Linked DNA regions of Drosophila melanogaster. The protein of the gene in region 1 interacts with the protein of each later gene in a pairwise test. Each region holds a gene or a part of one and is shown on either strand. Other genes may lie near its edges.

The links.
Region 2: the proteins of retn (region 1) and CG33557 interact in a two-hybrid assay, tested with the Drosophila melanogaster proteins (one large-scale study listed by BioGRID).
Region 3: the proteins of retn (region 1) and grau interact in a two-hybrid assay, tested with the Drosophila melanogaster proteins (one large-scale study listed by BioGRID).

The regions. Positions count from the first base shown.
Region 1 is NT_033778.4:23,628,253-23,637,137, reverse strand, and holds the start of retn (retained), read right to left. Parts: upstream 4,529-8,885; 5' UTR 3,961-4,528; coding exon 3,874-3,960; intron 1-3,873. UniProt on the Drosophila melanogaster protein: Transcription factor which is a downstream target of gcm and repo. Directly or indirectly activates the transcription of locos and pros, which are essential for the development of some glial cells.
Region 2 is NC_004354.4:10,005,421-10,012,799, reverse strand, and holds CG33557 (uncharacterized protein), read right to left. Parts: upstream 3,591-7,379; 5' UTR 3,566-3,590; coding exon 3,339-3,565; intron 3,230-3,338; coding exon 3,099-3,229; intron 3,042-3,098; coding exon 2,947-3,041; 3' UTR 2,751-2,946; downstream 1-2,750. Other genes in the region: Dna2 (DNA replication helicase/nuclease 2), read right to left, coding at 1-529, 589-1,626, 1,684-2,229.
Region 3 is NT_033778.4:21,007,010-21,015,551, forward strand, and holds grau (grauzone), read right to left. Parts: upstream 4,913-8,542; 5' UTR 4,837-4,912; coding exon 4,714-4,836; intron 4,637-4,713; coding exon 3,870-4,636; intron 3,808-3,869; coding exon 3,598-3,807; intron 3,536-3,597; coding exon 3,160-3,535; intron 3,097-3,159; coding exon 2,860-3,096; 3' UTR 2,755-2,859; downstream 1-2,754. Other genes in the region: CG30291 (uncharacterized protein), read right to left, coding at 793-1,298, 1,353-2,195, 2,247-2,421, 2,484-2,489; CG9346 (uncharacterized protein), read left to right, coding at 5,037-5,093, 5,153-5,269, 5,326-5,612, 5,670-6,088, 6,149-6,330, 6,393-6,436, 6,504-6,836, 6,904-7,146 and 4 more.

The DNA.
Region 1 (8,885 bases):
TCCACCATTGTTAATCAGGAAATGTTGCCAGCAAGCACACACAAATAGCTACTACACTACTTGGCTAATATGGCAGAAGCTCTTTTCAGATACTTATTGCCTAAATGCTTAATACCCCAATTTTAATGGGTGTACTTTGCTTAATTCCCCAAAAAAAAAAAACACATCGCTTACGAATCGATAATAATTACGTATGAATTTCACTTGCAATTGCTTGGCTTCTTTATACGAAAATTGTGGCAGGGCTAGTCAATTGTGGCAGGTGCAAAGTGAGGAAAACAGGCAAACATCGAACATCAAACAAGGATGTGTTTTTCAGTGCCAAATGCCAAATTAAGATTTGCTGTTTGCCAGCTCGATTATTCAATTTGTTGGCGCTCACGCGATTTTCTCGTTGGCCAATTGGCACGCCCATTTCTGTTTGTATTCGGCGAAAGGGAGGGCGATATGTGCGGTGCAAGCGAGAGGGCAGGGTTTTATTAGCGCGATGATAAATACACTTTTTATCCAGGCCCCCGAGCACACACACACACACGCACACACACACACCAACAGAGAGGAATACACACAGATACTCGGTTCGTGCCCTCGCAAATTCGCATTTTGTTTTGCGATTCGCGATCGTTTTTCGTGGCGCTTTTCGCAATCGGCAGCTGTACTGGAAAAATCCAATTAACAGTTTTATTAGCTATGGTTGGCAAAATAATTCATAAATTCATTAAAAACAATACGAAAAGCGCAAACTGTAATACTGCCAATAATAATCATATTTTTTACGAGCTCTTTCTGCTTTTACGGCCCTGTTTTCATTGGCGTTTTGTGCCGTTCTGACATTTGTCGCCATGCACTTTTGAGTGCCGCCAACTGCATTAGTAGTTAATTAAATTTTTTCCCCCCAATATACATACATATATCCAAATGACAAATCCCCTCCTCCATTTGGCCAGTTTCAAGTTCGCGCCCCCTTGGCGCGCAAACTAAAAGCAAAACAAATTTCGCTTGTCATTGCGGTGGAAAGCGCCACCGAAAATCAACCCATTCCATTCCATTTCATTCCATGCCATGCCATCCTATCCCCCAAAGGCCCCACCAGATACTTAATCAAATATTTCCCCTGACTTCTGGTTATGCAAGAAGAAGAGGATGGAGGGGGGGGGGGGAGAAGAGGAGCGTAGCCCCCACAAAGAATTTAATAAAAATCGTTGGCTGTCAGCGTACAAGAAGCCAAACAAATTATAACAGGTGCCGCTTCCGACCGACCCAAATGATTTCTGCTTCCAGTGGCGCAGGGAAAAGGGGACAGGCACCCCAATGCGGTGTAAGCCAACCCCATCAGCCAGTTAGCCCGCCAGTTAGCCAAGTGTGAAACAGTTAACTCGTTTCGGTAGTAAGCGTAAATGTAATGCAATATTCATTTGATACAAATCATAGGGTTCTTACTGTACTTATTTATTTGTAAATGCCAGACCTTTGAGCTGCGCTTGAGCTGCATTCCCATGGAACTAAGATGCAATTAAGTTTACAACTCTTCCAAAATTTCTGGCTTGGCGCACTGAAGCGGTCATAAATAAATGTGGAAAACGACGCTGGCCGAATCGGAATCGGAGCCGGAGTGTGAATCAGTGCAAACACCAGCAGCGGCACCAGTTAACCACCACTGAGATTTTTTTTTGGGGGGATTCCCCCAACCCAAGGCCGGTATGATTTAATGTGGGAACTGCGCCTGGAGCACGTGCAGCGCTCGGAGTGAATCCACCAGCTGCTCCGGCGCTGGAGGAGGAATCGGAAGCCAATTGTCTCGAGTCATGTTCGCCGGCTTGATTTAATTTAAAAACGATTCAAAAATTACAGACAACAATTCGGCAATAATTTTAAACTCTGCGTTTAACCCATGTAATTAAAGTGCTGCTCGGATGACGATACTGGGCATTGGGCATTTGGGCATTTGGGCATTGGACCATATACCATGGACCATTGGGCACGACTTCTTCGCTGGGACTGGGTTTCATTCGAGAATTTATGACTTTTTGACAGCCCACATTATTGTTTAATCGTGACTTTCGGGCTAAAATTGAAAATGCGAGCGGCGAGTGGCGGTGGCAGGATTTGATTTGAATAGAACTGCGGATCGGATGTGCGAATGACACCAGCATGTCGGTCCGGATCGCAGTGGGGTTAATTAGACAGCACAGCACCCACATGCGGACCCTCAATTGAGAGACCCGCAATTAACACCAGTCCAGGCCCACAAGGAGCACACATCGCATCGGCATCGATCCGGGGGGATGACGAATAGGCCGGCCTGGAGAGCCGAGATTCAGTCGCTGTTTGCACAGCCCATTGCGTCTCCGCCGCCTTCGCTTCTTGGCCAAAAGCGAGGCTATTAAAAATTATTATGTAAATAGCCAGACCGACCGGCCGGCCAGTGAGTGAGTGTATAAAGTCTGGCTCATTGTTGATCGAGCCGGCAATGTCTATTAACAATAATAAAAATGAAAGGAAAACAAAGGGGCAGGAAAAGACTAACAAGAGTTTTATTGAATTGAAGAAGTCGCGATGAGATGGAGATGGAGATGGAGATGAAGCTGCATACCTGAAAGCGAATGGCCGAAAGGCCTGAAAGGCAATAAAACCCATTTAATATTCATTTAAGGTACTAACAAATAATGCAAATATTTGAACAATCTATTTACATATGAACGCCATCAAAGAGCTTGGATTGAAAGATCTCTTTCAATCGGTGGAAATTGTGAACGATCTCGGGATGTCGGTACGCCGATCGCTCGGTTTTGTGGGACCAAAACAGATGAATCTATTTGTGTTTATGAGTGTGCCATGCACTTAGCTCGATCAACGTGTGAGTGTATATCGCGCTGGACGTGAGTGTGTCGCTACAACACAATCGTCTTGTATGCGACCATTTAGCATGTCACCTTTTAACGGCTCTCCGGCAAACTGAAACGCCAAAAAGCCAAAAGAGCCAGCTCCCTCCGTTTTGAATCTCCCATTCCCCGATTGAATAAACATATTTTTTTAACATTATAATTACGTTTTGAATCATCTGCAAACAATGTGAGTCGGTTGCAGGAATTGCCTTTGCCTTTTCGAGCACGACAGCAGAAAACAAAGCTGAAGTATAAGTTGCTACCCAAACAAGAGATCATTATGGCCAAAAAGCGATCGCTTTTGGGCATTTGGGTAAGGATTTCCTCTAAGTGCCGACGGCAAATGGGTATTTCATTTTTTTTAGACTGAATAGGGTATCTTGGCCCATCAGTGTCAAGACTTAATACTATTTTTCGCGTGGCAAATGGATATTGATGCATTAGTAACTCAAATTACCAGACGGTCGCGAAAAAAACAAAACAGATTCTATACATACATATATGATGGATAGATGAAAGGTGGGTTATCTTATTAATTTTTGTGCTTGACAAATTTCATTTGGTAAAAATAATAATAATACTTCGAAATGCTTCTGAGAATTATTATCGGAAAATGAATGAGTTTCCATCAGTAGCTGATTGTTAGCAATAACCATGAATTCCGTATATTTCTTCATTATTTGTATTTCAATGCTACATGTTTGTTTACATAATTCATTTGTATATTTCATATCAGTGTTTTACGATGTGATAATAAAGAGGTAATTTAGCGGCACTTACTGACATACTTTTCACCTGGATACTTCTACTGAGAATGATTATGCCAATTAAGTTTATTACTTGAATGTATGACATTTATTTTAATGCCAAGCTGATTAGTGCTTGTCACATCAATTTTTCAAAGAAGATAATAATCCTTTATAATAATAATAACTTCGGGCGTTACTGTAGAGGTGCATATTGGGTGTTACAAAGTTCCTTTTCTTACCAAATCGTCCCCCAGATCGGAATCGCGTTCAATATTGCTGGTTGAACGACCGCTACAGTCCATAGTAGGGTGCACTCGCAGTTGCATTGAGGCGAATTGGATCACCCTGCTCGAATGTCACGAATATAACGAATATGACGAATATAACGAATGTTGCGGTTGATCAAAGACCTGCGCAGACCTTTGATACTTTTGATGTTATTTCCTTAGCTGAAGTTTAATTGGCACAGCACACTTTTGTTGTGTTGTTTTTAGCTTCTATATGGCATTACTTTGCGGCCAGCATTTGATTTCTTTTTTTTTTTTGTGAGCGCGAACCGTTACTTGTGATCGTCGATCCTCTTTGCACTTTATTCTGGTTGGAAAACAGAAACAGGAGAGTGCGCTTAAGAACCGTTCACTTGCATTTATGCCTTTCTGTTTGTTTGCAATTGCTTGCGGTTGTTTAGTGCGATTTGGTTCCTAGTGACTTCTATGCTTCTCACTTTAATTATGGATCAAGAGTTTTACTGCTCACACGCTCACACACACAGAACACGATTGTTATTAATCCACATTGCGACGTTATCTAATTACAGTGATGTGTCCATTTGAAAAGCCGTTATCCGACCGCACGGAACTCGTCTCGTTCACTCGAAAGTTCAAATCGGTCTGAGTAGCGAACAAGAAACTGGCGAATAAGACACCGACACCATCTCACAGCAATAGCAACAAGTTGCTGCAACATTCCCAAATGTTGCCGGAACGGCCGTTCAAATCGAACGAATGGAATTGCACGTTCCAATTCACACTCGTTCCCCGAACTCGTTCGCAGCCAATCGGATGGCCGTTCCATCGTTTGTTAGGGGAGGGGGTGGGGGAGGTGGTCAATTAAATTAAAATTGTAATCGCAATCTATGCAATGCCCGATTCGTGTGTGTGTGAGAGTGTGCGCAATACGCCGCCTTCTTATTCGCTCATTCCGATACACTCACACACACACGAACACCTGAGGCAGAGGTGTGCTCGTGTATCTGTATCCGCAGAATGTGGGCAGAAAACGCAGATACACTGCCTAGCACGTTTGTTAACGCAATTTAACAGGTTTATGTGCTTTTGTTTTCGAATAAAATGTATATTTTTAGTAAGTTACTTTAATAATGATGTATTACTAATAATATGTGCAGTTGTTTACCCGCGTTTTAGGAAGTAAATAAGACTTTTGGATACTAAATAAATGACAACCTTTTTGTTTCTAGCTTTTGTAGCTTAGTGTTTAGTTTTGCGCACTTGTATTGGCTCACTGGCGTATCTTTCAATCGAGTTTTATGCGCGGTTCAATTGAAGAGCGCCGCCCTTTTCATTCGCCGAATCGTCCTGTTGATTTTCCCAATCGAATGGGAGGGGCCAAGTTTGTGCCCTTTTAAATTTGTTGCCAATAAGTACACAAAAACGGGCTAAAAACAATTGCCAAGTAGGGGGTGAAGGTAGGCGTTGGGTGGGCTGGGAATGGATGGGAAAGGAGGGGGAAAGGGAAAGGCAAACGGTAGGTTGATTAATGATTTGCGAGATAAATTGCACTTGTAATGGCCAAGGCGGTAGATAGATGGATGGATAGATTGCTGCTGCCACCCATCCAACAGACAGCCACATCCACATTCGCACCCAGCCACCCATCCAGATAGTAAATAATTTCCGTTTCTCGATTTTCACTAATTTGAAATTGATGAAAGGCAGCGCCGCCGAAGAGCAGCGGCAGTGGATCCAGACACTGAAAGAAAATCGGATGTACTTTTATGCATGCAAACAAATACGCTACGGTACTCAGTTAAATGATGCAAATTAAAATTCATGACTTTTATTCTTCAAATTATTTATTTGTGTGTAAAGTAAGTTATATTTTGAACTGATTTTCCTGTGTGCAGCTGAGTATATCAATTTTGGCCGACTTGTCTGTGAAACAAACAAGCCGCGAACGCTGCGGCATGTATCTGTATCTGCATCTGTTAATGTATATGTATCTGTATCTGGGTGTCTGTAGGGGAGGCTACCCTACGACTACGAATACACCCCCTGGCAGCCAGCCCAGGAGGAGAAGAGCAACGCCAATGACGAGGCGACGTCCGACCCACCGACTTGACTGATGATGAAGTGAGAAAGTAATTAAATACAATTTTAAATGTGACTAATGAGACGACGTCAAATTCGTGGGGCAAAATGGCAGGAGGGTGGAGAGGGGGGGGGGGTGGTGGTGTTTCTGGGCGCGATCTAAGGGAAGTTGCAGTCAAATGAATTCATCGGGAATATTTAGGAATTCGAGGGAAATATAAAATCGATCTTAGAAGCTCCTGTTTCGAGGGAAAACACTCCTGTTTGGAGCAAATTTTTTCATTCTGAACTTTCCATTTTTCGCCGCCAACTGAGCCCCATTTGATTTTCTAACAACGTACTCACCTGTAAGTGAAATTTGTGTTTAATTCATGGATACACATATTGGCAAATATTGGACAGGGGAACATCGTTTATTTGTTAACACGTCCATTTCCTGCATTTTGTGTTTTAGCCGAAAAAAAAGACGTTAGCCGGCGGAGGGCGGGCAGAGAAATGGGAACCCGAACACAAAATTCGAAATACGTACTGGCAACAATTTCAAAATAAATAAATGAGATAGAGAAACCGCCGCGCGCAGCCCAAAAGTAGCAACAACCACACAAAGCCGACAGATACATATATGGATATTAGTTGAAGTTGTTATTGTCCAACACATCCGTCGCCGCCCGAAGCTTTTAGGCCTCATTAGTTGATGAGTATTAAGTGATTTGGGAATTACACATTTGACATAAATATATGTATATGTGTATGTATGCCCCCACCTTCCGCTCCTTTTTTACTTTTTATCTGCTCGCTGTGTGAACTCCATAGAAAACCCAGCCACGATAGCCGGGGCAACTCGATACGCTGACTAAGTGTTGCGGCTGGATCAATGGCTATGGAATGGATAACTATGTGACTTGGTCACCTGCGATATCGAACTCAAGAGATGTAAACCGATGCTAGTATATATGATGTGATATACCAATCCATTCCTAATCTGAAAAACTTATGTTTAGCAACCAGTATAACAGCACACGGACAATTAATGGCTAATTAATTGAGTGCATAAATTAATTCCCCTGCGAATGTAGATCAGATCCAGTTTGAGCTGCCTGGCCACCCCGTGCTCATATAAAAAATGCGAATATAATTACATATAATTAAGCGGCAATTTACAGTTTCAACACAGTTTGGCGGGCGAGAGGGGTCAGCAGATCGATTAATTAAACGCCATTTAGGCGATCATTAATCCGGGGAATGCAATTTGTCAGTCCGCCAGCGGATCGATGTGTGAGAAAGCGATTTCCAGCTGTTGAACCAACAATCTCTACCTGTTCGCCATCGCCTTCCTAGCCCTTGGGCTGCAGACCCGAGACCCCAGAGCCAGGGCTAGAAACAGAGATAGAGTCCGGGGTTAAAGCCAAATTGATTGACCAGATCGACCACATCCGACCGAATATGAATGAATGCGAACGACGACGACGACGACGACGGCGGTGATAATTGATGATTACTTAGTTGTTGGTGGTATATGGATGGATTCGATCGCACACTCTTTTGCCCGGCCATTTGGCTGAGACCTTTGGACCAGGTCGGGCACCACTAATGGCTTGGCCAAAACTGCGAGTGGAAATCCACAAAGCAGACAGTTAGAAGCGATCGCAGTGAGCGAAAACGAGACCTCGGATTCATTCATAAACTGCAGCTAACTGTCGGGAGCTTGTCAAGAGGGGCAGAGTGTCTCCATTATGGCTGTGGCAGCATCAGCATCAGCATCAGCATCACCATCACCATCACCGGCATCATTAACTCAACTCAAGTCAACTCGGCTCGGTCGCATAGTCGTCATATTTATTTAGATGATCTCTTTACCCATTTGGGGGCACGATTTTTAATGAAGTCGAAGTCGGATTGGGAGTCAGTCGGAGGAGCCTGGGAGCGGGAGTGCTCGAAAATAGAATATCAATTTGGGCAGAAAGCATAACGGATGCCGCTGTCAATATTTTGACAGTTCTCGCTGCCTAACAGGAACCAGCAAACAACACCCAACTACACACTGCTATATAGTATGGTATGTGCCCGACTTATTCCCGGAATGGTTACATCAAAACTTTAATTGAATTTCGCTCCGCAGCGACTGCAACTCATCAAGATCTGCGGCGGGAAATGGGAACGAATAAATAAATGGAATTCTGTGCGCGAGCGATGGTGAAAAATGATTAATATGCGCTAATGTTTTATAACTCTGCCCTTTAATATTCGTCCTGCCCCGCGAGTGGGGAAACAATAAACCCAACTGAAGGCGATGACGCTGCCTCCAGATCTCGCAATCCAGAATTCAGAATCCAGAATACAGAATCGGCATCCAACATCGAGATTCACCTCAGGCCCGCCAACCTCAGACATGGCATTAAAAATGCCAAAAGCGATAAAAGAATGAGCCATATTGCCTTTTGTCTGCCACATGGACACACGATACGAGTATACGAGTATGCACTCGGATCTGCGGATCTGGACACATCAACTGTTTGACTGATCTCGATCTTAACTGCTAATGACTTTAATCGTTAATCTCTGACATAAAAGATTTGATTGAAGCGGATCTGGGCTGAAATGCAATAAATTATTTCGAATATATTCCCACACACACACACACACACACATGTTCTGCGGTTCATATGGACGGGCACACAATAAACCAAATTGGATTATGGGGATTGAACTGGCTTTTAATTTTCTCGCTCTGCCCTGTTTTTTTTTTTTTGTTCATTTTGCGCGAAATTCTGGACTCTTGGCTTCATGAGCGATTTATATTATATATTTGTGGTAAAATATGAAATAATTTCATTATGCACAGCGATCGCACAAGACATTGGCGATTTTAAGAAGCATGAAGACAGACCACCAATGCTCACATGACATCAATAATGACATTGAAT
Region 2 (7,379 bases), on another chromosome or scaffold:
ATCCGAAAGGCAGCAAACGCATGATCAGATTGTCCACAGCCGAATGCGTTTGTGCTGTAATAAGCACACTCTTTCCGAGAAGATGGAGCAGTCTGACAAGGGCAACCAATGTCTGGGTCTTACCAGTGCCGGGCAGTCCCTTGATCAACAGGTGACTGCTGGTTGTCAAAGCACGCAAAGCAGCATTTTGTTGCACTTTGTTAAGATTCAGCAGAATGGGTGCTCCCTTGGTGAGGATGATCTTGGGCAGAACTTTGTGCTGCTCTGGTGGCTTCTTGGCCACAATAATATCTCTCAGCTCCTGGAAGCGTTCTCCCTCGGAGAGCAGCATACCAAGATTGGTAAAGTTAAAAGTGGCAAAGGACTGCGAATCGTGCTTATCAATAATAAAGGTCTCCTCGCTATAACGCTGGCTAAGATCCCTCTCCAGCCGAAGATCCAAACGACGAGCTTCTATAGATACAATAAAACCAGCAGCAACGGCCAAACGGGATGTGGAACTGATTACAACATATTCGCCCAAGTCGAACTGAAAGAAAGAGTTGAGATAAGAATATAGTGATCTGTGGATTTTGTGGCAAAACATACCCCACTGAGGCTGAGATCTCGACTGGGATCTGCCTCTTCACCGAGCTCCAAGGTCTGGCGATAGCGTCCCTCTTCTAATATCACTTCTTGACCCTTCACTAGCTTCAAATGTCGAATGGCTATGCCTTCTTTTTCTCTCTCCGCAGGGTCCTTCGTCCAAAAAGACCTCACATGCGAGGACTGCCGATTGTGTTGCTCTTCTAGAGCCAGCAAACCACACCAATGCTGCACGTAGGCATGGTCTGCCTCACTTAGATGCTCCAATAGCTGTGGCATGAGTTTCTTGAGGGGATGTGAGTCGCTTAGCTGTAAACTTGAATCCTTCTGGGCGAAACTGGAGCAAATGGTATTGTAGGCACAATTGCCGCAGGCGCTGTGATGGTAAACGGGTTCGGGTAGCGGCAGTTGCTCCAGTGGATCCTCCTTGCTAGCCGGAATGGCTACTTCACGTGTTAGCCAGTAGGCCAGATCATTTCTTAACATAAGGAGATCCCTCTGTTCGTTTCTCCCGCTAGCAACTTCTCGTAGGAGTCCCTCTTTGAGGTACAGAAGCAATCCCGATTGAGTATCCCTGCCCTGGGCAGAGTGCATCAGTTGGTAGAGCAGCAATTGGCCCTTGTGTTCCATGGAGAAGCTGGCTCGGCCGGTCTTCAGTTCCAGTGGTATGATCTCCTCCCTCTGCCGTTGATTTTTTACCTTTACGGAGACATCCACCTTACCCTTGAGTCCCAGTTGTGGAACCCAGAGGTTCTCCTCTATATCGCATATCTCGTGGATTTGACCTCTATAGACTTCGGGCAGCAAAACACTTGGCGGTTCACCCTTCACATATTGGGCCACAAAACTGACAATGGGATCAATGAATTTCATCAGATGATCCTCCATTTCCACCTGGATGAGATTGCTGGCATAGAGTAAATGAGCCAAAGAAGAGCTGGCCAGCATCTCCTGGAGGGCAGATTGAATGTGTTTTTTATCGAAGAGCTTCTGGCGTAGAACCTTTTGCAGCAATTCGTGCACCAGAGTGCCAATGACCATCTGAAATGGAATACATTCTGGATAAATTGGGTTATGCTGATATCGAGATGTACTCACAACAGAGTTTCCCGAGTCCAGACCGCGAAATCGTTCCTGCAGAACAGATTTCCGTTTGCAAAACAGGGAACCGGTGACTGTGGTGCCGGAAATGAGGAAATCCGGATGGGACACGCAGTAGCCCTGCTCCTTATCGACCACATAGCATCCTGCAGACGGATCCCACTTGCCCAACAGGGAGACAGTGTCTCCAACTTGCATTGGCATGCAATTCCACGGCGGTAGCAGTTGGCAATCAGCTGTCTCCGGATCCCCGCCAGAAATCCTCTTAACATGCACTTTAAGGCCTTTTCTATTGGGGAGCTGCTCCAGCCGCACCACTTCGCAACGCTGCCACTTGGTGAGCTCCAATCGATGATTGGATATAGAATCCATAGCTGCAATCAGCGCCAAATCGAAGTCATCATTGTCACCCCAATCAATGTTCTCCACTTCGTCTGACGAAAAATCCAGTTGCTCTTTGAATTTCTTTTGTGGATTGGATGACGTCACGTCAGTGTTATCATTCTCCAAAATATTAGGCGTCAGCACGCGTTTGGTGGCCATCGAAGGGGCTATTTGTTATTGTTAAATCAAATTATTTACTTTATTTCAGTTATGCGTACAAATGATTTGGCGGGAACAGAGTGACTGTTTTCTGCGTGTGGTAAAATACTTATGAACACACCGGCGCCTCGTTGCTATTTAGCTAGCTTGTAGCTATTTAAAAATTACCGCGTGTTTTAAACTAAAATCTCCTTCTATCACTAACAGTTGTTAGAAAATGAAGTAATGTGTATCAAACAATTATTTAATATATAAAATTGCTTAAGCTGCCTTCTGCTTACTTTTTGTTTTCTTTTTATATGTATATATTTGATACTTCAGATCTAGCTACTAATTTTAGTCATCTTAACGAAGTACAGGTGGCGCAGTTGTGGAAAACATCCGCACAGATGGCGACAATTTAGCGACATATATTAAATTGCTCGTGTTGATTTTGAATTCTTATCACCACCAATTTTTAAATAGATTTCAATATTATAGTTAATTTAATTTAATTTTAATTTATTTTTATCCTACACAAGAGATCGAAATGTTGAAGAACTACAACAGCTTAGTAAAGCAGTTGTGTTGTGGCAAGCAGTTCACATTCGGTGGAAGTTCGTTCCAGAAAATTACCATAGGTGGCGCTTCAATTGGGCGCCCAATTCGATTTCCTAAATGCAACAGATACGACGAATTATATAAATATTCTTAGAAATATCCAATAAATAATTAATTTCATTTGGTTTTCAGGCAAAAGGTGCAGATACTGATACGTCTAGTTATTCCTTCGCTCTCGTATTTGTGCAGCAAACATGGCTGGCATTCAGTGCCTTAAAAATTTAAACAAATTAGTATACTTTTATATGAATAACGTTTTTTAAGCAAACCTGTTTCTAGGGTGCTACTTAGGTGCGTTATATAGCTGCTGGCCAGGCGGATGATCTCGATCTTTGAAAGCTTGCGATTCATGGGCTCCGTGGGTATTAAATTTCTTAATGCCTCGTAGGCCGAATTAACACTGATTTTGTTTAGGAAAAAAAGAAAATATTAAATGGTTAATTGTTAATAAATACACTTTCAACTAGGGCTATGTTTTGCTTATTAACATTTATATACTTTTTACTCACTTAAATGTCCGATAGCGCTCTCTAGCATTGATCTTCTGGCGCGGCGGTCGCCTCCTGTGATTTCCCTGATTCTCCTGGCCACCTGGATTGGCCTCCTGGCCAATCTGGGAGTCCTCCGAGTCGGCGGCTGCTCCACTTCCGCTGGCACTGCCACTACTATTGCTATCCTGGGCAAATACCGCCATCAAGTAGTTGGAAAACGACGACGAGGACGATGAGACCGCCATCCGTTAGCAGCGGCGATTGGCGAGCAACTGAACGGACTCTATGGCCGAGCCCATGACTATATCCACTTCTATATGCCCCGGCTGCATATTTGGGATCTGCTAAATGAATTAAGTCATCGGCTAGTGACGACAAATTGTGCGTGAAGATGGGAAACAATAACGAGTGCGTTTTCTTCGCTAAATGTGTGCACTTGTCAAAACAAAAAGTGAAGAATGCCGGGCACTTGTGCGATACTAATTGTGCATCAAGTGGCTGGCGTACCAAGGATAAGTAACATCTATATATCCATCCCCATTTGTCCATCGGCGATTTGTTGGGCCAATTTGTTTGTTTGCTTGTGGAAAACGGAAGTGGCACTTAGACCCTGACCTTCCCCTCCCCCGCTACTTTTATTTTATTTTATTTTTGTTTTTGGTTTTTCTGGACCGCACACATGCCACGCATGCGTTACAGTAAGTCATTCAGTTAGTCAGTCAGTCAGTCAGTCAGTCAGTCATTCAGTCACTTATTCATTTGCTCACTCAAGCAACGCAGTTTTGTATGGAATGTGCCGAGATGGATAATCCAGATATTTATAAACCAGATTCGAGAAAATCGAGAGGGTGTGCAACGAAGCAACTCACTGCGAAATTGTACAAATATTTGCAAACGTTTCTTAATTGCCCAAAAACATTTCTCACATTAATTTTTAATTTTAAAATACTTGGCCATCATAGTGTAGTATAATTAATTGAACGTAAAATATGGATGGCTTGCCAACGATATTATTAAATTTATTCACCTAATCAAATGCATTCTTTGCGTATTTTCAAACAAAAAGTTCAAGAAATCGGATTTCGTACAAAACATTGAAAATAAACAAATAAATAAACAAATATGGAATGCTATACCTTTCTAAGCTCGTAATTAAATTCCCATGCAAACTGTAATATATTTAGTATTTTGGGCACAGCTTAAAAAATATTTGTCCAAATAGCGAATGTCATACCTCGCCGAAATCGTAACTAAATTTGCAATCGATCTGTGTTCAAAAATGAAAACTTTATTTTTTGGCAATTTTTTGCAAGTTTTGATGATGTTACCCCTTACAAAAAATGCAAAAATTGACCAAAAAATTAATTTTTCTAAATTCTTCAAAAACTGATAGGGATCATAAGCACTGGGAATTAGCTGCTCAAAACAGTTGTTTTTACATCTATATGAGCATTTTTAGCCAAGTTATGATGAAAATTCCGTTTGTAATTATCAACTTCTTGGCAAAATCCGTTTTTCCGAATTTTGGTCTTCAAATAATCAGTTTTTTTGCTACAACCTTAAAAATAAGTGTCTGAATATGGAATGTCATATACCGTTGTGCTCGTATTTAAATTCCCCATCGAACTGTATTCACAAATGGAAATTCAATTTTTTTCAGATTTTTTGCAAATTTTGATGATGTTACCCCTTACAAAAAGTGCGAAAATTTACCCAAAAATTAATTTTCCTAAATCCGTCAAAAAGGGATAGGAATGTTTAGCATTGGTAATAAGCTGCTCAAAACAGTTATTCTTTTATCTCTACGATCATTTTTAGCCAAGTTATGAAGAAAATCCGCTTCGCAAACATCGAATTTTAGGAATTGTCCAATTTCCGTCATCAAATAATCAGTTTTTCTGCAACAACTTTAAAAATAATTGTGTGAATATGGAATGCCATATCTCATTCTGCTCGTATTTAAATTCCCAATCAAACTGTGTTCAAAAATAAAAATTCAATTTTTTTCCGATTTTTTGCAAATTTTGACGATTATAAAAAATGAGAAAATATGCCCAAAAATTAATTTTCCTAAATTCTTCAAAAATTGATAGGGATCGTTAGCACTGGTAATTGCTGCTCAAAACAGTTATTCTTTTATCTATATGACTATTTTCAGCCAAGTTATGACGAAAATTCCGTTTGTAAATATTAACTTTTTGGCAAAATCCGTTTTTCCGAATTTCGTTCATTCAAATAATCAGTTTTTTTGCCACAACTTTAAAAATAATTGTCTGAATATGGAATGCCATACACCGTTGTGATCGTATTTAAATTCCCAATCGAACTGTATCCACAAATAAAAATTCTATTTTTTGGCCATTTTTTACAAATTTTGATGAAAATTAACTCGAAACTCAATTTCCCTAAATCCGCCAAAAAAGTGGTAGGAATGGCTAGCCTTGATAATTACCCGTTCAAATTGGCAATTCCTTTAGTTTTAACCCACTTTAACTCATTCTATGCCGACCATTGCAAATATATTTTAGAATACTTCAGTCTATAAATGAACATTTTCCCCTTTTTAAAAGATGGAATACACAGAATATGAAATATTTATAATCATTTTATTTTATTTTATACACATTTTTCGAAAGTTTCACTTAGCTAGCTAGAAAAAAATCATAGTTAGAAAAACACAATTCGCTTAGGATTATGGGGAGTTACAAACAAATCCAGGGGACACAGGGAAGTCGAACAAGAACGGTTCTATATATATAATAGGCATATCGAATCGGTTTTATATATTGAGTATGCTTCAGTGAATGTGCGTGTTTGTGTATGGGTGTTTTTGGGGCTCTTTGACCAACAACAGCAAATAAAAAAAAACATTAAGCTCGGCTACATTTCATCTAATAGAAACTTGACGTGTCTTCTGCATCCACTTAGCTTTCTTCTTCATCATCATCATCATCATCATTATCTTCACATTCATCTTCTTCGTTTCGTTTTCGTTTAAAATAATTAAAAATAATAGTAAATAAAACACCACAGTCATGATTTTTTTTAATAGAACACAAAATATACACAAAAAGGAGAGAAGAGGTCAATTACAAATTAGGGAAATTGGGTTTAGGAAAAGTGGTGGGGGAAAATTTGCAAATAGCAAAATATTTACAAAAGCCGTTGAAAATTTTAAAGATATGGATAGACGGGTCAGGGAAAATAGAGATATAGTACTAGGGCAGGAATAATTGTATCAGGCGTTTCTTCTTCTAAACATATTCATATGAATGTTGTTTCCATACTTTCGATTCGATTTTGTTTCTTTTATTGATACATATAAATAAAATTCTTTGATTCGTGTTTTTTTTTCTGCCAATTTTGCTTATGGTTTTATAATTTTTTTTTTGTGTTTAGTTTGTTTTAACTAATTTCGTTTATGTTATAAAAAAATTTGCTATGAATTTAAAAAAAAGATGTTGACATTGCCGGGAAATTTCTTTGATCGAACAAAATTCTCTCCGTGTGAATGAGTGGCCGTGTTTGTGTGTGTGTGTGTGTGTGTGGGGTTGTTGTGAGTGGGTGTGTGGGGCATTGGAAAGGGGGTTATTTCTGGGGTGAGACAGAGGGAGATAGAGACAGACTTTCGGGGCGTTTGGGGCTAGCGAGTTAGAGAGAATGATCTGCTGCATTTGACTCTGTACAGGTTGGTGACTTGACTAATTCGGGCGAGGGCGTGGCCGGTGCTGACCCTTGACCTTAGATCAGCGCCGTTATCAGCTTGGCCTTGAAGTTCACGAACTTCTCGCTGGTGGCCGCAACGCGCTGCAAACGGGTAGGTAACATAGATTTCGTTAGATTAATAGCACATAAAACCCTAGTTACTGTTACTCACCAGAATCAAATCCTGGACGAGATTGGCCAGACCGCGATTGGCCAGCACCACGAGGCGCGTGACTGGGCCGGGAATGCCCTCGGTGTAGCCATCGGCGTTGCGAGTGCTATCGCCATCGGCGTCACCATCGCCGCCCAAACTGCCGCTGCTACTGCTGCTGCCGGCACTGCCGCCCACCGAGT
Region 3 (8,542 bases), 2.6 Mb from region 1:
AGATAGAAAACAAAAGTACACGACGCTTTGACCACACAAAGTTGTAACCATATCATGAGGCCTCTTTCCCCGTATAATTAATTGTATTTTCGATAGTGCTTGTTATTTTCTATTTAGTTAACGAATTGATTATACTTACGAAGCCTTTCTGCTGATTACCGCCAGCCACACTTTTGTTAGATTAGTGCCTAAGTCTAGTTGATATCCCAATGTATACCCCGACATTTTGTGGCTTTTTACACCCAAACCTTGTATAGCTACTCTATAGCATTTCCGATTTAATTGAAGCTCCCCCATTCTACCATTCTAGATGTACATCTACATACATATGTGTACATCCGGTTTAATCAATATATCTCGATGAATTTCCTTATATTCAAGACACAGGCCCCCAAAACATTTAAGTTAATCACAGCGTTGTTCTTGTTTTACACATTATTAAAATTCAGCAACATAAGAATTTTACATTTAAGTGAAAGTTTAAAACGTTAACTGTGTAAGCATACTTTTATGAACAAAACAAAAGCAACAAAAAAAAAAGTAAGAAAAGAAAAGAAAAGAGAACGAAAAATGAAATCAACAAACTTCACTAAAATTAGGTTTGTATTCTGGATACAAAAAAAAAAAAAGAGAGAAGCAAAATGGCAATTAAAAGAAAGAACACAATATAAATAAAATTTGTATATTTAATAAAAATAGCAAAATAAAAATAAACTTCTTTTAAAAAATTTACAAAACCATCTTTGTCCATTTACCAGTTTATTTTTAACAAACAGCCATAAAAAAGTTACATTAGTTAACACCCCCCATCAAGTTAACCACCCGGTTCTTGTACCGCTTGGATATATCCTTCTCGATGTGAGACTGCAGCGTGCGAGTCTGAGCAATCAGCTCCTCCAGCACGGGATTCAGGTCCTGCCGCTGCTCCCGCAGCTCGATGGTCAACTGCTTGAGCGCCTCTCGCGTGGCGCGCAGCTTCTCCACGGCCTTTGTCATTTGCTGCAGCTTGGTGGCCAGCATATTGGCATACTTTGGGGAGTGCTTCAGCTGGAAGAGGTGCTGCGTCTGCTTGTCGGATGTCTGCTGGATTATTTTCTCCACGGACACGAGTATCTTCCAGATGCTCTCACCGTCGTGGGTGGCAATGTTGTCCATCAGCGAGAACATGATGTCGCTGGAGGATTCAAGCTGCTTGAGCTCGTAGATACGCATGCGTAGAAAGGATTCCAGTTCGTAGATTTCGTCCAGGAAGCGATCGCGATAGTTGGGTGAGTCCAGCAAAGTGTAGGCCTGATCGCCTGGAACAACAAACCATTAACCATCATAAAATCGAGTATAATAAAAGAACTTACCCTTGGCAGTGCCGCCATCCATGCCGGTGCCCTCCACCACGATGCCGTACTCCTCGACGGGAATGTCAAAATTGATTTCCACCGCATCGGTGGGTGCACTCTCAATGCCCCAGTCGATGTTGCCGCCGTCGCTTTCCGGCAAATCCCCGCTGCCGAAGTCCCCGTAGTCGATAATCTCAGCCGAAACGGTCGACGAAGTTCCGCCGTTGTCATCCGTTCCGAAGTCAATCTCGGCCACAGCATTGTCATCCTTGCTGGCGTTGCCCTCGCTGAGATTTAGCCGAATGGGCGGCTCCTCGACGGCCAAGGGTGCTTCCTTGTGGATGTACTGGTACACGGTGGTGTTGCCAAACTCCACCAGGTGGTTCAGGATAGGCAGCACTTGCTTGTTGCCGCTGACCTCCGCATACAGGTCGATGCCCGGCTGAATATTGGCAATGCCCACCAGCGACTTATCGTATAGTTCCGGTAGACCAGATAGAACCTGGACGAACTCGGCATGCAGATTGTCGCCCTTGACGCCCAGTTGCTCCAGCAAAGCCGAGTGGTCGGCCAGGATTTGGCTCTCGGGCTTGTTCAGATCGTGCGCTCGCTTCTGGGTCTCGTCCGCCTGCTGCTCCAGCCTGGCCATCTGCTTTCGCACTCCGGGAATCTCGTAGTTCACATTGCGCACGAAAATCTGAGCCGTTTCGGCCAGGTAGGTGGCATTCTTTTCGTACAGGCGGCTAATCTCTTGCCAGTCCTTCATGCGCTGGCTGCCGTAGGTGCCGAACACGCTCTTGGTGTCCTTCTCCGTCTGCTTGAGGATCTCAATGATCTCCTTCACATGGTAGTAGTTGATATCTGCAAGTGGGACACATTAGTGGGATGGCATTCTGGGCACTGGGCACCTACTTGTCCGGGCCAACAGCTTGATCAGCTGCTCATTGGAGGGCATGTCCTGCAGGGCGTTGCTAATCTTCCTGTGGATCTCCCTAAGCTCCTGCTGCACATTCTTGGGCACAATTCTGCGGCTGATCAGCCAGTCCTGCAGCTTCAGCGTGTGTATGTCGATGGGGATCTCGGACTCCTGCTCAAATAAAATGCTGATGAGCGAAATATTCCCAAAGATTTCGTTAATAAAGTGCTTACATTCATTTTAATTAAATGTTTGTCCACGCAGACTGTTTTCTATTATTTTAGCAGCTGGCAGTGTGACCAGTCTACTGTAATAAACAAAGCGGATACTTCAACCATCATACCTTTTTTTTCCAATTGAAAAATTCAAGACATTCACACTGTAAATTTTTTAAATTCAAAAACAATATTTCTGAATGTAGCTAAATGAAACATTTAAATTCAAAAAACTTAATTAAAATGTAAATAGCCAAAAATCCCACCAATATGACAACAAACCGCTCGTACTTTCAAATAATTCCTATTATACATATATTTTGTTTTCAAACAAAGGTCAATCAAAAACTAAGCAATGGTTTCCGCAAATCGATTTCCTTAAGCATTTCCGGGCCTAACCCGAATAGTCATTGGCAATAGCTGCGACATCGGCATCGTCCCGGAACATTTGCGCCACTTGGGCGCTGGGCAGGACCTTCTGTGAGCTACCGGTCTTCGTCTTTCGCCAGATGTCCCACTCCACCGGATGCATTTTCTTCTTGTGGGAGTGCATGTTGGCGTTGGAGTTGAAGGTGCGGGGACAGAAGGGACACTTGTAGAGTGGCTCGCCAGTGTGCTGCGCCATATGCTCCTGCAAACATCAATCGCTTTAATACAACACATAAATAAATAAGGGTAATATGTATTATCCAACCTTAAGGCTGATGTCCTTCTTGAAGGTTTTGCCACACTGCTCGCAGGTGTAGATCACATTCGAGTGGGAGTAGCGCTTATGACCAATCAGCGCGCGGGAGTTCTTGCAGCTCTTGCCACACTCTGAGCAGATAAACAGCTTGCCCTCGTCGTTGTGGCGCCTCAAATGCTGCTTAAGATTGTCCTCGTCCTTCAGCCAGCTCTCGCAGTCAGGACGCGGGCACTTGATCCGTGGTCCGCTCTCCTCGAAGTGCAGGCGAACGTGCTTTTCGAAGACAGCCTTGTCCTTGATCTTCTTGCCGCACACATGGCAGATATTGGCCGCCTTGCGGTGCTGCATGCTGATATGGACCTGCATGTGGTACTCCGTGGCAAAACTGTGGTGTGAAAGGAGAACGATAAGCATTGGAAACACTGCCGTTTAGCTGGCGAGGCTCACGCATTGTGTTTGGGGCACTGCGGGCAGATGAACTTGCGCTCATTTACGGGCACATGGGAGCCCTTGTGCAGTTCGAGCAGGTTGCGTCGCGAGAAGCGTTTGCCGCAGTCCTCGCACTGGAAGTCGCACTCCTCGTCTGGAACATGGTGGACCAGCCAGTGGGCACGCAATACGCTGGAATTGGCGAACACCTTTCCGCAGTCCTTGCATCTGTCGGAAAGGAAAGCTAATTATCAAATCGCTTCGAATTGGTTTGGGTAAGAGAGACCCACTTGATGTACTCGGGATTCTCATGCCTCCTCGCATGCTCCTGGATGAGGCAGCGCTTGTTGAGCTTGCGTCCGCAGCACTTGATGTAGGGCCGCTCGTCCGGATGCTTGTCCTTGAAGTGCTCGCGGATGCCGTCGAAGTCCTCGGCCAAGAATATGCACAGCTCGCAGCCCATGACTATGTAGCGCTTGATCAGTTCCTCGTCCTCTTTGCAAAACGGCGGCAGGCGTTCCATCTTGAATATCCTCTTGGGCGGTCCCCGCTTGACCACCATCTTCTCCTTCCCCTTTCTGCCCACCGACACCGTTCCTCTTTTCGTTTTAGCCGGCTTGGCCACGTCCCGTTTACGTTTGCGTCCACTCCGGGTCACGATCAGGTCGTCGGTGTCATCATCCTCGTCGTCCTCGTAGTCCTCATCCTGTTCATTGTTGGCATCCTCAAAGAGGAGTTCCATGTCGGGTGACTGTCGCTCTGTTTTGATGCCCACCTTGCTGTCTTCCGGGGACATGGGTTGGCTAAGGTCTAACTCGTCCAGGGGATTCACATTTATCTGCGCACCGACATCGTTGTCGACGGCAAGGACGTCGGCCGGCATGAGCACCTCCTCCGGCCAGGAGGTGTTCACCATCTCCGGATCCTGCTTGAACTTGGAGGTGGTGGCGTATATCACCTGGGCCTCCTGTATGGACACGTAGAACTGATGGAACTCGGACACCTGCGTCCAGCAGACGTTGCAAATAACCTTGGATATCTCGTCGTTGGGCAGTACCTGTACGCGTTCCGGAGACGAGATGGTGGTAAAAAAAGATTCCCAGGCACAAAAGTGGGTGGAGGGCAGCAGCTTACCTCGAACCAGAAATGTTGGCGCAGCACCTCCGCCACCTTGCTCTCGCCCGAGTCCACATCGAAGATCTGTAGACACATCTGGGCGCCGCTCACTCCGCGTAAACAGAGGCGGCAGATATCCATTTCGCATTTATTTGATAAAACTATAATAAAAAGTAGTCATTTACATAGCTCTGTCGATAACTCCCATCGCAACTATCGGCTGCATCGTGATTTGTTCGCTGTTCATTCTGTGCACTGGTTGTACGACGTCGGTCACACTGGCAAATTGTTGGTTTTCCTATTTTCGTATTTGCTGATAATGTGCATATTGTGTGGAAAAGATGAGTAAACAAGGGAATAAAAGCAAGGATTCGGCTGCCGCATCCGCCACTTTAAAAGTAAAGGTGTCCTGTGTAGCCGGAAAAACGAGCCTAACATTTTTCGGTCTTGTTTTCAGCGGATAAGCGAAAAGAAGTTGGAGGCCTTCACGGTGGGCACCTTCTCCAAACGACAATTGTCCAAAAAAGAGCTCGAGGACCAGAAAAAAAAGGAGGATGCAGCTGCTGCGGCACATGTAGGCGCCTCTAGCAAATCCCTCCTCCACGCATTATAATCCAATACGATTTTTAGGCCTTCAAAGAGTTCGTAGAGACTTTCCAAGATGCACCCACCCCCTCCTCGAAAGTTTGGGTCAAAGCCGGCACCTATGATGCAGGATCCCGGCGGGAGGACAAGTCGGAGAAGGGCAAGCTATACAAGCCGGTCTCCAAGCTGATGGAAAAGAGCTCCTCGGACAAGGTCGAGGATTACGCCAAGACCCTGGCCTCGGATCTCAAAAAGGACTCGGGTCCATTGAAGAAGAAAAACCAGGAGAAGAAAAAGAGCAACTTGGAGCTGTTCAAGGAGGAATTGAGACAGTAGGCCCACTTGGTTGTGCATGTGTGTATTCCATACTAATTGTTTCATGCCCACAGGATTCAAGAGGAGCGTGAGGAGCGCCACAAGTACAAGCACATGGCCTCAAGCCATTCCGCACCAGCACAGCAACCGGCTGCATCAGCTGCTCCTGTGCCCAGCAGCAGTGTCTCCACCACCTCCCAGAACTCAAGCAGCTCAAAGGAGTCTGGTTCGTTTGACACGGGCGATCCAAATACCACAAACCTGTACCTGGGCAACCTGAACCCCAAGATATCCGAGCAGCAGCTTATGGAAATCTTTGGGCGATACGGTCCCTTGGCCAGTATCAAGATCATGTGGCCCCGCTCCGAAGAGGAGAAGCAAAGGGGACGCAATTGCGGCTTTGTGGCCTACATGAGCCGCAAGGATGCGGAAAGGGCCCTAAAGACACTGAACGGGCGCTACATCATGGGCTACGAGATGCGTCTAGGATGGGGTAATCTATAGATCTTATATTGAAGTTCTTATTCCTCATACATCTTACTTAATATTTCAGGAAAGACTGTGCCCATAATGAATACGCCCATTTTTACACCGCAAGCATTGCTTGAGATGACCCTGCCTCCGCCTCCTTCAGGATTGCCCTTCAATGCCCAACCTCCACCCAGTGAAGCTGATGTGCTGCCCAAGAAAAACTACAAGGAGTTCAACCAAGAGGACAAAGAGAATATGGAGCGGGTAAGTGAATAATCACCTGCTAGCGTCTAAAGAAATAAAAATGAAAATGTTCAATTTTGTAGATACTTGCCAAATGCGTCGTTAAAGTCCATATACCCACAGAGAAGTATGAATTGCACCAAGGACATTCACTTAACAAGAACTCACGTTACTGTGCTTTTCTTTTTTTCCAGGGCTGTTCTTAATGTTATCCATCGGATGATCGAGTTTGTAATACGCGAGGGACCGATGTTTGAGGCTTTGATCATGATTCGGGAAATGGAGAATCCGCTCTTTGCGTTCCTCTTCGACAACGAGAGTCCTGCCCACATCTACTACCGATGGAAGCTGTTCTCTTTGCTACAGGGCGATACGCCCAATGAATGGCGGGAGGAGGAATTCCGTATGTTTAAAAACGGACCGGTTTGGAAGCCCCCGATTGCCAACTTCTACACTCAAGGCATGCCAGATGAGCTGGTTGTTGATCCCGATGCTCCTGTGGTGCACAAAGGAGCCTTGTCCAATGCGTACGTTTAGCATAGATAATCCTCGAAACATAAATGTTTACTGTACTGTAAATGTATACTGAAATAGGCAACGCAACCGACTCGAGGATTTGATTAGGCACTTAACTCCTGAACGCGCCCGCATTGGAGATGCCATGATCTTCTGCATTGAGCACGCAGATGCGGCTGATGAAATCTGCGAGTGCATCGCCGAGTCTCTGTCAAATATCAATACATTGGCTTCAAAGAAGATTGCTCGACTTTATCTGATCTCAGATATACTGCACAACTGCACTGTTAAAGTTGCGAATGCTTCGTTCTTCCGTAAATCGTATGTATATATGTTTATCAAAGCATACACATTGAAATATCCCCTATTATTTAGTGTGGAAAAACAATTGTTGGACATCTTTGATAACCTGCATAACTACTACTTGAACATCGAGAGTAGATTGAAAGCTGAGGGCTTTAAATCCAGAGTCTGCAATGTTATCCGCACATGGGAGGAATGGACCATTTATCCCAAGGATTTTATGGCCCAGCTGACGGCCAAATTCTTGGGCAAACCTGTTAGTTAATGAAATTCATTTCAAATTGTGCATGTAGTCTAATGGAATCTTGTGTTTAGTACGTCAAGCCAGTCAATAACTCACCTCAAGCCGAGGAAACGCGATTTGATGAGGCTCTGGACGAAGATATCGACGGTGCGCCCCTTTCCGGAGAGGAAAAGGACGACGAGGATCTAGACGGAGTGCCACTAGATGGAGCTGCTTTGCTTAAGAGCGCCTTGAAGCGAGCCATACCTGATGCAGATGCTGGTACTCCAAAGCGTGACACACCTAAGAAAGATGAATACCTCGATGAAATCGATGGCATACCATGTAAGCATAAGAAAGTGATTTAAACCTTCTTACTACTAAGTAAATAATCCTTAATTCCAGTGGATGATGATCTCGACGGTGTACCGTTGGAAAAAGAAACCAAATCTACGGCTAAGTTGCCTGGCTTCATACCCTCAAAGTGGGAGACAGTTGATCCCCAGCAAGTAGAAGCGCAGGCGATTACCACCAGCAAATGGGACACTCTCGATCCGCCAGATCCACCGAAGTTCTTTAGCTCGGACGACGACAGTGGAGAAGACAATCCGCAAAAGTACACCGACGAGATGCGTCAGAAGTTAAGAGACATTGAGTCGAAAGCAATTCAGTACCAGGACGAACTGGAGTCCGGAAAGCGCCGCCTGGAACCAGGTTGGAGTGTCCCCGAACAAGTGGAACAATTCCGGAAGCGATTACTTAAACAGGTAAGATTTGTAACATACAGTAAGTCGGATGTAACAACTGAATTCTTTGCGAACGAACAGGACTCGCGATCTGAGGCAACTGTAGACTCCCCGCTCAGCTACATGCACATAAAATCCAAGAGCTCCAAGGTGAGTGAGAGTCCAGCGCTGTTCAGAAGCAGTTCCCGCAAACGATCCCACTCGCCGTTCTCTGGTGGCGAATCCAAACGACGTGACTATTCACCCGAAACCTCGCGCTCATCCAAATCCTCGAAACGCAATCGGTCGCGTAGTCCGTCCAGTTCACCGAAGCGGTATACAGAGCGGTCGTCTCGCAGCTCCCGCTACGAAACTCCTGCCTCCGGATCGTCGCGATCACGCAGTTCTCCAACCTCCTCGCGCTCCTCTCGCAGAGAAGAGCCATCGCCGCCGAGACATCGCAGCG